Xenopus tropicalis: one gene and its partner. The protein of the gene in region 1 interacts with the protein of each later gene in a biochemical or structural test. Links are inferred from orthologs where the notes say so. Each region holds a gene or a part of one and is shown in the gene's direction. Other genes may lie near its edges.

Region 1 (5,445 bases):
CTAACTCAAGCTTTCAAAAAGGGGTCACTGTCCCCGACAGCCAAAAAACAATTGCTCTTTGAGGCTACAATTTAATTGTTATTGTTACTTTTTAACTTACCTTTCTATTTAGACCCAACCCTATTAATTTCAGTTTCTCATTCAACTCACGATAGATATGTTGTAGGTGAATGTTGTTGCTCAGTTGTTTAAATCAACAAAATGAAAAAGTAGTGATAAAAACAACTAATATTAATATGAGTAAATAATTGGACACATGAACATTTTGTGAGAGAAGGTAATAGGAAATTGCCTTAGGTCTATGTAATCTTTAGCATTCCTGTTGTAACCTGTCTATTTCTATTCCCAACTTAAAATACAGCTCAACAACAAAAGGGCTGTATTATACATTCATCTTTTGTTTACATGTAAGATTATACATAAAAATGCACTTTTTTGGATTTAGAATTGCATTCCAACAGTAGAAAAGTATCTGTTGATTTATTCTGAATGTCTAAGTGCTTATATTTGCTTTGCATGTTTTGCTTTGCTATTGCATGTCATCTGCAAAGAAACACACCTTACTTTATATGTCATATTTAATATAATTTATAATAATATTAAATTAATGTAACAACACTTTCCTATCCTTTGATTTACCCCGTTAACAATAATGTTCTGGCTCCTGTCACAACCTGTAAACCCTAAACACTGAAATTCCTGAATCAACATATTGTGGTGGACAGTATCAAAACACTTGCTGAAAATTCACCCTAGTCTACCATTTTGGTTACCCAGTCCAACTCAATGAATGAAAAATTATACCAGTTATAACAGTGGAGTAAACTCGCCACTTAATATATTGGGTCCAGGTACTTAAGTCACAGAAGGCAGGCAGAAACTGGATGTCTTGCCAACAACGTCGGGTAAAAGTGTAGCTTCATTTAAAAAAAATCTCATCACGAAAAAGGCTTAAGCATTTTGTGTTCTTATGTATACACTCTGTCATAGTCCAGCTTAGTCTCACATGATCTTCCAGTGGCAAATCCATGCTGCCTTGGATCCTGCAAATTACTGGCTTTTAGGTGTTTCATATTTTGTGATTCTATTACTTTCCTTACAATGTGTGATATGAAACTATAAATTCTAGAATTGCTTTCATCCTCTGCTTCCCCTATTACAACACCAAGGTTGAATCTAGCATTGTGTAGAAGGCGATGTTTATTTAGGGTGATATTTTAAAATATATATTTCCACATCAATGCTGTAAATAAAGGAGGTATAAAAAGAGAGAATATTTATGGTTTAGACAACAATATTTTTTAAAGACTTCTAAAATATTGCTGCCAGTGTATATAAATCATGTGTGTTGCTTGGAAATATTATTAATAATTGGCTTCCTCCTATTGTTTCATAACTTTGTCAGAACTAGGTGTGAAAGGCAGAATGGAAAGCACACACTGAAAGCTGTTGGGGTTTTAGGAAAGTTAACAGTGTGCAGCAGTGTATGCCTGGATTTCAATGCCTTGTACCTCTTGCATTGCACAGGGTGGACTCAGAAGTCTGTGGCTTCCAGCACCCAATTTAAGGCTGGTGTTCCATGAGCCCTGGGGATGTGTCTCAGTTCAACAGGGCTGTCATCCAAGCCCAAACCATGCAGAACAAACATTGGAGCCTGGCCAGCAACAATCCTGCTCACAGCCACCTCCTTCCCCTCCTTCCTAGCTGTGCCTTTACACAATGCACTATCTTCCTCCCTGGAATCTTTTAAATCATAACTCCCTGAAATCTCAAACAGAGCAGCCAGCAACTGAAGAACAGCATGTCTGGTGGCAAATACATAGATGAAGAGGTAGGACTGGCCATTGCTTATAACTGGGAGTTGCTTAGCTTATGCACTGTAGTTAATCCTGGGACAGTATGCAGTGACTGCACTTTAGGTGTATACCTATATTTTGTGGTCGCATATTGCATTACATGTAACTTCCACTTACTTACATAGCAACTGGTGATAGCTACAGATTTCAGGCTCAGAACCCCCTGAAAAAATGGTACAGCCCATTTTGGACTCCCTCCCTACCCTCCCTACCAGTCTGCATGCCAAGGAAAAAGTTACCTCCTAAAAAATAACTTGATGGATAATAAATGTGTTGGGGGAGTAAGAGATGGAATGTTACTTGGCTCTGTATATAGAGTTGTGCTTGGTACTTGAATGCACTGATAACCTGCTTAAAACAAGGCTTTACACAAAGATTCACAACCTGCGGCTTCCCAGTTATTACTGACAGCTACAGACAGTGGGCTCATGCTAGGAGATGTAGTTCAGCAGCAGCTGGAAAACATATGCCAAAGCCTTTTTTTTAGGACCTTGCCATACTACAGTGCTTGGAGATTACATACCCTGTGCTAAAGAACTACTGCTGTTCACAAACAGTTACACAGTAAAATAATCACAGACTCGCACTTTATTGAAACATATCAGTTTACATATGAATACATACTATGTGTATACAGTACCATTTTAGGATGTAGGTGAGGTATGTATAGTGGTGTGTCAAAATGCCTCTGGTTAGTGGTTTTAGCTGGATTTCCACTGTACACATATGGAAAGAAGGCAGCCAGAATCATGGACCACAGCTAAAGTAACACTTTATTCACATGTACAGTCTAATAACACTATGGATGGAGGGACAGATGTGATGTACAATAATCGCAACGAGAAAAAGTTACCTATAGGTCACGTTGATCGTTTTTCACTGATAGGGCTGCTTTTGTAAGTAATTGTTACTTGAAGTTCCTAAACCTGTTTTTTTAACCTGACTGTACCTTCTCAACCTGTCAGTTATAGCTTCTAATGCTAATGGACTCCTGCTGCACAAATGTGGCAGCCCCCTCATATAGGAACATGAGGATTGGATGTGTAATGAAAAAAAGCCAAAGACAACAAAAAGACAATGTTGTTGCAAAAAGGGTTTCATTTCTGGTTGCAGTATCTCTTTAAGAAAAATGGGCCTTCAGGATGCCACTGAATGGAAGAGAAGAGTCTGATTCTAGCAATAGACAAGAAAGCACAAAAGATGTAGAAAGAGGTTACTGGGGGATGAAGGAAGCATAAAGGCATCTATTTTGAAGGAGGATATTGCATGGCAGTGTTAAGAGCCTAAACAGGAATTAAGGATCTGGTTATTAGGGGCATGTCAGGAGATGGTTTTAGCAATGCTATGTAGACATGGAGATGGCTTAATGGATTTCTGAAAAGAGCAGGAGTCAAAATGTTAGGCATCCCTCAGTGAATTAAATCGCTACTGAACCTTTAAAATTAACTATATGAATTGATTTTTAAACTAAAGTTCCATTTAATGTGCTTTTTATGATCTGCCATTTAAACTATAATCTAGGTTACTAGGTCCAATCAGTGTTTTTTAACGTCACTATGAAAGATCAATAGACAAAGGCCTAAATAGTAAAAGACAGAATTTAAAATTAAAAAAAAAAATAATTGCAAAGTGCAAAGATCAAGCACCGTCAGTATATGTCTGTGGAGGGCCTACATTGCCCACTGCAGAATTATCACATCTGCTGACTGTACATAATTATGACTTTGTTTCTTATCATTTTATGCACTTCTTTTGCTTCTTCTGAATCAATTTTATTAACCTGAATAAATTATAGGAAAAATGTGTTTTGGAAGAAAACAAGGGAGAAGTAGGACACACTGTATATAAAAGACAAAAATTGTATTGTTCAGTGCTTGGCTTGTGGCAGAGGAAAACGGGAGGTTCCCAGTTGGCAACCAGATAAATGATGTGACAGAGAAGTATAACCTGAGGATGTCCAACTTTTGTAAAATATTTCTTGGCATCGCTAATCCTGTTTTGTAGACAAAATGGTTTCATCCCAAAGGTGTGTAAAGCTGGCTATACATAACCAGATCTGGTCAGGGAGTTTGGACGATTTTGACCACACTACCTAAACATCTAAATATGTCAGGTGGGGGGGGGATCTGAACTGGCCAGTTTGCAATCCTGTTGGTTGAAGATGGTCTCTCCAGTTTGACAGTATTTCATCTGCTCATGCCTATACCAAACCATTTTATTCATCATATTATGTTATTTAGATATGGGCCCTACAGCCCTAATTGTAATAGCACATCAGACGTTACAGAAAAAGTGTCCACCACATCTGACTTAACCCTGCCCTCTTCAAACCTGAACCTGCCCCAATCCGGCCAGCTGTAATTTTTTATATACACGTGCCTGCCCCTCTCTGATATAACTGAAGTCAGCAGGGAGGGGGGAGAGCATATATAAGAGCAACAGCAGGTGGGCAAAAGAGATAATGATGTCATGGGGGGAGGGGGGCGTGGGAATAGTTTGGCCCTCCATTCACCTGCCACAAGCAAAAAAAGTGATTGGCCTGCCCAAACTCACATCACTAGTCCATGGCTACCATCCATCAGAAAGAAGCAGGGGTATAGAATGCCTTGTCTGCTTGTCACCATTCTTAATGGTACTTAAAGGAAAGGGTCCTGACTGCATGCCTGTTATTGACTAAAATTAGGAGTGAGGTCTACAGTGGACTAGTGATGTGTGGGTCAGGAAATATTCAACCCAAAATGTTAGGTCGCTAATATAAAATAGATCACTAAGTGCTCCTGCTAGGAACCTGCGGAAAAAACTGGAGCGATGCATCAACATTTTACTCCACTTTCTACTGCGGCCCCAGGCATCCCCAGTGTTAATTCCTGTTCATGCAAGCGCAATAGTGCATACCCGAGATTTTACTCTACTGCGTATGTGCAGAATGCCAAGTGCCAAGGAAGGAGATGACAGTGTGGCACTCAATTTTTTCCACAGGTTCTTTCCTAAAAGGAGCACCAGCCTAGGGAAAAAAACTTAGCAATCTATTTCACTGGGGGGATGTAATGTCCAATATGTGAATAATGGCAAACATTGTGATTCTGAGCATTTTGTTTCCCACTATGCTCAAGCCCTATTTAAAGTGAATGGGAAGAGCATTTTAAGGATTTAGCATCTTCCCATAGTGCTACAGAGTGCAGGAAGGCAGTGTGCCATTAACCTTATGGGATCTGAATATCATTTGCAATGGAATAATACATAGTACAGGTATCGGACCTCTTATACGGAAACCCATTATCCAGAAAGTTCAGAATTACGGAAAGGCCATCTCCCATAAACTCCATTTTAAACAAAGAGTTCACATTTTTGAGAATGATTTCCTTTTTCTCTGTAATAATAAAACAGAACCTTGTACTTGTTTCCAAACTAAGATATAATTAATCTATATTGGAGCCAAAACAATCCTATTGGGTTTATTTAATGTTTAAATCATTTTTTTTTTAACAGACTTAAGGTAGGAGATCCGAATTACAGAAAGACCCCTTATCTGGAAAACCCCAGGTCCCAAGCATTCTGGATAACGGGTCCCATACCTGTACCATAACCA
Region 2 (5,400 bases), on another chromosome or scaffold:
ACAGCTGTTTTACACTAACAGGGTACATTTACGGTACATTATTGGCTTTCACAGTCTTGCTACCAACAGCTATGTGTCCCAGGGTATGGCTCCCTTCTTGGAAGCCCCAATAGACAGCCCAGTGTGAGATTTGATCGTGAAAAACATTTTTTAGTCTTTCATCAATAAATCTGAAATAAAAAAAATATAGAATAGCTATAACATAACTGTACTGATCCACCCAGAAACTAAGCTGATCTGAAGCACCTGATTTTTTTTATCCTTTAGAAACAGATTTTTCTGGGGGACCCTGCTTGAGGGTAAGATTTGGGGATACTGCCTATTTATTCTTGTATATATTCCTGGAGTTTCAGATTGAAGGTCAGTTAGAATGAGATTGGGGGGAGCACTTACTTGCTGTCCTAAATATTCTTGGGGCTCATCACTACATCACTGGTTTCAAATGTCTGTAAACTAGTCATTCAGCTAAAGGGACACTGGTCAAATGCTGAACTCCAGAAACAGTTATGCAGCAAAATAAAAAAAAAACACAGTGCAGAAATTGGCAGGGGGCAGGCAAATTCTTTGACAAGCAAAAGATTCATTGTCTTCATAAAGTATACAAATAAAGTAAATAAATCAATATCTACATAATGACACTTATTTAGGGCGAAGAGACACAGAGCTACACCAGAAAATCCCCTGCCATAGACAATACTGAGAATTGCCTCTTCTAAAACACACGTAGAGACAGTTATCAGCAAATGATCAGCATTGTCTATTTTAGTAGCTGCTACTAGTAGCTCTGTGTGTCTTCACCCATAGGGCTCTGGCACACGGGGGAGATTAGTCGCCCGCGAACAGGTACCAGAGCCCTTAGCGCTTAATTTTAAATGTAAATATTCAATGGTATTATTATGGTAATGACTCCTTTCTTCTATTAATTTACTGCCCTGCTGTACAGCACTGTGTGCATAAGTGCAGCTATATAAGTAAAAATAATTGCATACTAGTTAACAACCACATAATGGAAAAGAAAAAATGAAATAACCTGACCCATTTGTTATAACAATATTTTAAATATTTTTATGCTTTATAGTGACAGTATTTATACATTTTCTGCCATTGTTTTCTAATAGAAAGCTATATCACATTGATAGGCAATAATAATATATACTATACATATATTGTTTAACCCTCTCCCCCTTACCACCAGCAACAGATCCCAACAATTTAAAGGGAATATATCCAATATATGTTTGGAAGACCTTGTTACAGGAACATAGGGGCACACTATCCTGCAGATTATACCTGGTTGCCTGCAACAGCTGCTCTTTGTAGCTCTGTAAAATCATTTTCTTAAACAAATAAAGGGTAAGTACAAGGTGCAGGGGAGACAGATTGCGCTTTGTGTGCGCCAGTCTCTCAGGTGCCAAGTCGCTCCACTGACTAATTGTCTGGGTTCAATTCATTTATCAACACAGTAAAATCCCTTTGTTATGTGCCTTTTGTCTACTAAAACCGGACCTTAACCGGCCCCTTCCCCCCATGATGAAATAAAACCGACTCTGTTAGGTAATTCATTACCACAAATTTGCAACTAAATTTGGACGCCGGGACAGTCGGGGCTGGGTCAGGCTCAACGTAAATTGGGTGTGCTCGTAACGTCACCGCCTTCTTGTTCTGTATAAATGAGGCGCAAAGTTGCTCCCAGTTCAGACACAAGAGCTAAAGCGATCCCAGCAACGGGTTATCAGCAGCAGTAGCAGAAGTAGTAGTAAAAAAAAGTAGTAGAAGTAGTAGTATAGCCGCAGTAGTAGTGGGATAGAGAAGGTACATACCGCACAGCCCGCCTGCGCTACTCGCTCTCCATTGGAATGATCGTACTACCCGCCGCTGTGTTCCTCTCTCTGCTGGTTTTCTCTCAAGCAGGTAACTCTCTCTTCTATGGATTCTCCCATAGCGCTTTCATTATGGGAATCTCTGTTCTGCATTCCGCGGATTCACACTCAGTAGCTGAGGTTTAAAGCAAGATCTGATTGGGATCTATCCTGTAGCTACAGGCTACACTGACCTCCTTATACTGCATTTACCTCCTTAGGCTCTGATGACATTTCATCTACTAGGAACTGGACCTACTAGGGACTAAAGGGGGTGACCAAAATATTATTTACCAATAATATTATCTGAATAATTGTCATAGTGTATGGTTATCCCTTTTGTACATGGCTAAGAAACAAGAGAATAGTTTGGCAGCACCTTTCTGGATCACAAAATACTCAGATTTCTATTTATTGCCTTAGAGTAGCAAGGGAGCCAGGTGTATATATTAATACATTTTCTATTTCTAATGCATGTAGATTACAACTAGACTGTTCTGATTTCTGTTCTATATTATCTTTACAATCAGAATATTGTGACTTATAAAATGCATCCTTGGTTATTTTTTAAGGGTTATTTTCTGATAAGCTTAAATAAAGCAGTGTAATATTGAGCAAATATACTACAAAAAAAAAAAATGAAAGAGGGAAATGCATCAACTGAATGTAACTACTCTTTGTACTGTAATTGAATGATTTAATATGCTACAAAAAAGTTTCTGTTATTACTACAAATTTATATTAACATGCTGTTTATTTCCCCAGCAAACCCATGCTGTTCAAATCCCTGCCAAAACCGGGGGGTATGCATGACTGTTGGCCACGACCGCTATGAATGTGACTGCACAAGAACAGGCTTCTATGGAGAAAACTGCACTAAACGTAAGTATTTAGTTATGACCTGCCTCTGATAGGATTTATTCAGCTTTATATAAAAATGATGCTTACATATCTGTGTTCCTTACAGCGGAATTCCTATCGTGGTTGAGGCTGAAGCTGAAGCCAGCCCCCAACACAGTGCACTATATCCTGACACACTTCAAAGGACTATGGAATATAGTGAACAATATTTCCTTCCTGAGGGATGCCATTATGCGATATGTCCTGACATGTAAGTACCAACCTACTGCACTCTGTAGGGAAACTGAAATTGTAAGAGTTTCAAAGTATTTTCTTCTGATTGGCTTGATTAGTCTTGGGGAGACTTGAGATTTATTTGGCTAGTTTTACATAGAATATATGCTGTTTCCAGTAATCTTTTTTTGTTCTATACTTTGAGCACTAGATCTTTTCCATAGTAAAATATATAAACTAAAAGCTAAATCCGCCTGCAAGAGAGGAACATGCATACCTACAGTATGTACTATAAAAGTCAGATGTGCTTTACTTCCAGTAAAGGTTTGTTCTTTGTATTTCCAGCCCGATCGCACCTGATTGACAGCCCACCCACGTATAACAGCCACTATGGATATAAAAGCTGGGAGGCATTCTCCAATCTGTCCTATTATACTCGTACCTTGCCTCCTGTGGAACGTGACTGCCCTACCCCAATGGGAGTTAAAGGTGAGTTAAATACCGGTGTGCATATATATATATATATATATATATATATATATAACTAAATCAGAGGTTTAAATACTAATAGCATTATATGCTGGAAAAAAGGTTACATCTTATTGAAAGACAAGCAGAATACACAGTAATATAAACCCTAATTATGATCCTATATTGTGCAGCTGTAAATATCACTATGATTCATCTGGGTTAAATACAGTTAACAGTTAATAAACCTTTTATAGCATGCCTGGGAACTTAACCTAGTGGGTGGCAGAGTAGTATCACACTAGAAATTCCTGTTCAGTCACCTAGAATGTTTGGACCATGGATACTGGGTTGTTAATTAAATACAGCATATAAAATGAAATGGCTCAGAGTAAAGATTATGGCCAGTGCTTCATTGCAGTCCATACTCTGTAGAAACACACTTATTCGTATAATTCTTATTCTTATTCTTATGCTTATTCTTTAAGATTATATTGCAAGTAAATCCTTGTGAATTTTAATTTTTAAGTCCATGGCAATAAATCATAGCATGGACATCAATGTTTTGAGTCTAAATTCTTTATCTAATGTCATGCAAGACGGAATGGATTTTATTGCCGTGAAATTGTTTATAAGAGGATTATGGTTTTGGGCAAACAAATACAGATCTGATTTCATTTTTAACATGACTTGACAATTCCTTTGGGTTTTTTTGTGCAGGAATGAAAGAGCTTCCAAGTGCAAAGTTGGTAGTGGAGAAATTCCTGATGCGAAGAAAATTTATTCCTGACCCTCAAGGCTCCAATGTTATGTTTGCTTTTTTTGCTCAACACTTCACACACCAGTTCTTCAGAACAGATATGGCCAAAGGGGCTGCCTTCACCAAAGCATTGGGCCATGGGGTAAGGGATAGATTGCTTTTTCCTTTCCTTTCTTTTATTTTGTTTATGTCCTTCTATAGACTAGTAAAACTAACTGGGCCTGTCATCTCTTCTTACAGGTTGATCTCAATCATATCTATGGTGAAAGCTTAGAAAGGCAACATAAACTGCGTTTAATGAAAGGTGGCAAACTGAAATATCAGGTAAATGTCTTATATTATTTGGCAGCCCTTTACTGTACCTTTTTAATTTAAGGTGGTGATATGATAACAAGCACAAACTTTGCACCAGGTCTAGTAGCAACCAAATGTTTGCTTCCAATCAGTGCTGTCTGGTTGTTGTGATTTTAAAGAATAGGGGCAAACTTTGCACCTGCTATTACTTTACCCACCAGAAGACATTTCAGTTAATGAGGCAGTAGAAATGGGCCATGCACACACGGTAGACATGTAATTGAATATCTTTTACCATTGCTTTCAGATGATAAGTGGGGAAATGTACCCACCAACAGTGAAAACCACAGGAGTGGATATGGTGTACCCACCTCACATTCCAGATCACCTTCAGTTTGCCGTTGGGCAAGAGGTTTTTGGCCTTGTTCCAGGGCTGATGATGTACTCCACCATCTGGTTAAGGGAGCACAATCGGGTTTGCGACATACTTTCCAACGAGCATCCAGAATGGGACGATGAGCGCATTTTCCAAACTGCAAGACTTATTTTGATTGGTAAGTGTAAATAGAAGAGATATTATAACACATCATTTCTATGGATGAAGATTTTAACGTTAATACCCTTGTGGCAGGCACAGCTGATTTGGTAGCCAGCTATGCTGTTATACAGTCATGATCTTTGTATCTACTAATAAGTTTATTGGCTTAGTGTAATTATGATGCAAATTTGATAGCAAATGTCAAAGTAAAGCTTTAGGGATTAACAAAGTTTGCTCTGACTGTAAATTGGAATAACAGAAAGGTTGGCTCTCACTGATTTTGAACACAGAGTATAAATAGAATATTTGCGTTTCATAAGCAAACAGCCATATACACCCCAGCAAAACATTCTAAGGAATGCAGAGTCGGTTAGTTTAGTTTATCTCACAGCGTTTTGCTTCTAGAT

Evidence for each region.
Region 2: the proteins of cav1 (region 1) and ptgs2 form a complex in vitro, tested with the Homo sapiens proteins (2 studies listed by BioGRID). The link is inferred for Xenopus tropicalis from reciprocal best matches to the Homo sapiens genes CAV1 and PTGS2.

The regions. Positions count from the first base shown.
Region 1 is NC_030679.2:68,063,977-68,069,421, forward strand, and holds the start of cav1 (caveolin-1), read left to right. Parts: upstream 1-1,768; 5' UTR 1,769-1,801; coding exon 1,802-1,831; intron 1,832-5,445. UniProt on the Homo sapiens protein: May act as a scaffolding protein within caveolar membranes. Forms a stable heterooligomeric complex with CAV2 that targets to lipid rafts and drives caveolae formation. Mediates the recruitment of CAVIN proteins (CAVIN1/2/3/4) to the caveolae.
Region 2 is NC_030680.2:119,580,313-119,585,712, forward strand, and holds the start of ptgs2 (prostaglandin G/H synthase 2 precursor), read left to right. Parts: upstream 1-1,712; 5' UTR 1,713-1,856; coding exon 1,857-1,911; intron 1,912-2,624; coding exon 2,625-2,741; intron 2,742-2,826; coding exon 2,827-2,970; intron 2,971-3,278; coding exon 3,279-3,422; intron 3,423-4,121; coding exon 4,122-4,303; intron 4,304-4,401; coding exon 4,402-4,485; intron 4,486-4,762; coding exon 4,763-5,009; intron 5,010-5,400. UniProt on the Homo sapiens protein: Dual cyclooxygenase and peroxidase in the biosynthesis pathway of prostanoids, a class of C20 oxylipins mainly derived from arachidonate ((5Z,8Z,11Z,14Z)-eicosatetraenoate, AA, C20:4(n-6)), with a particular role in the inflammatory response.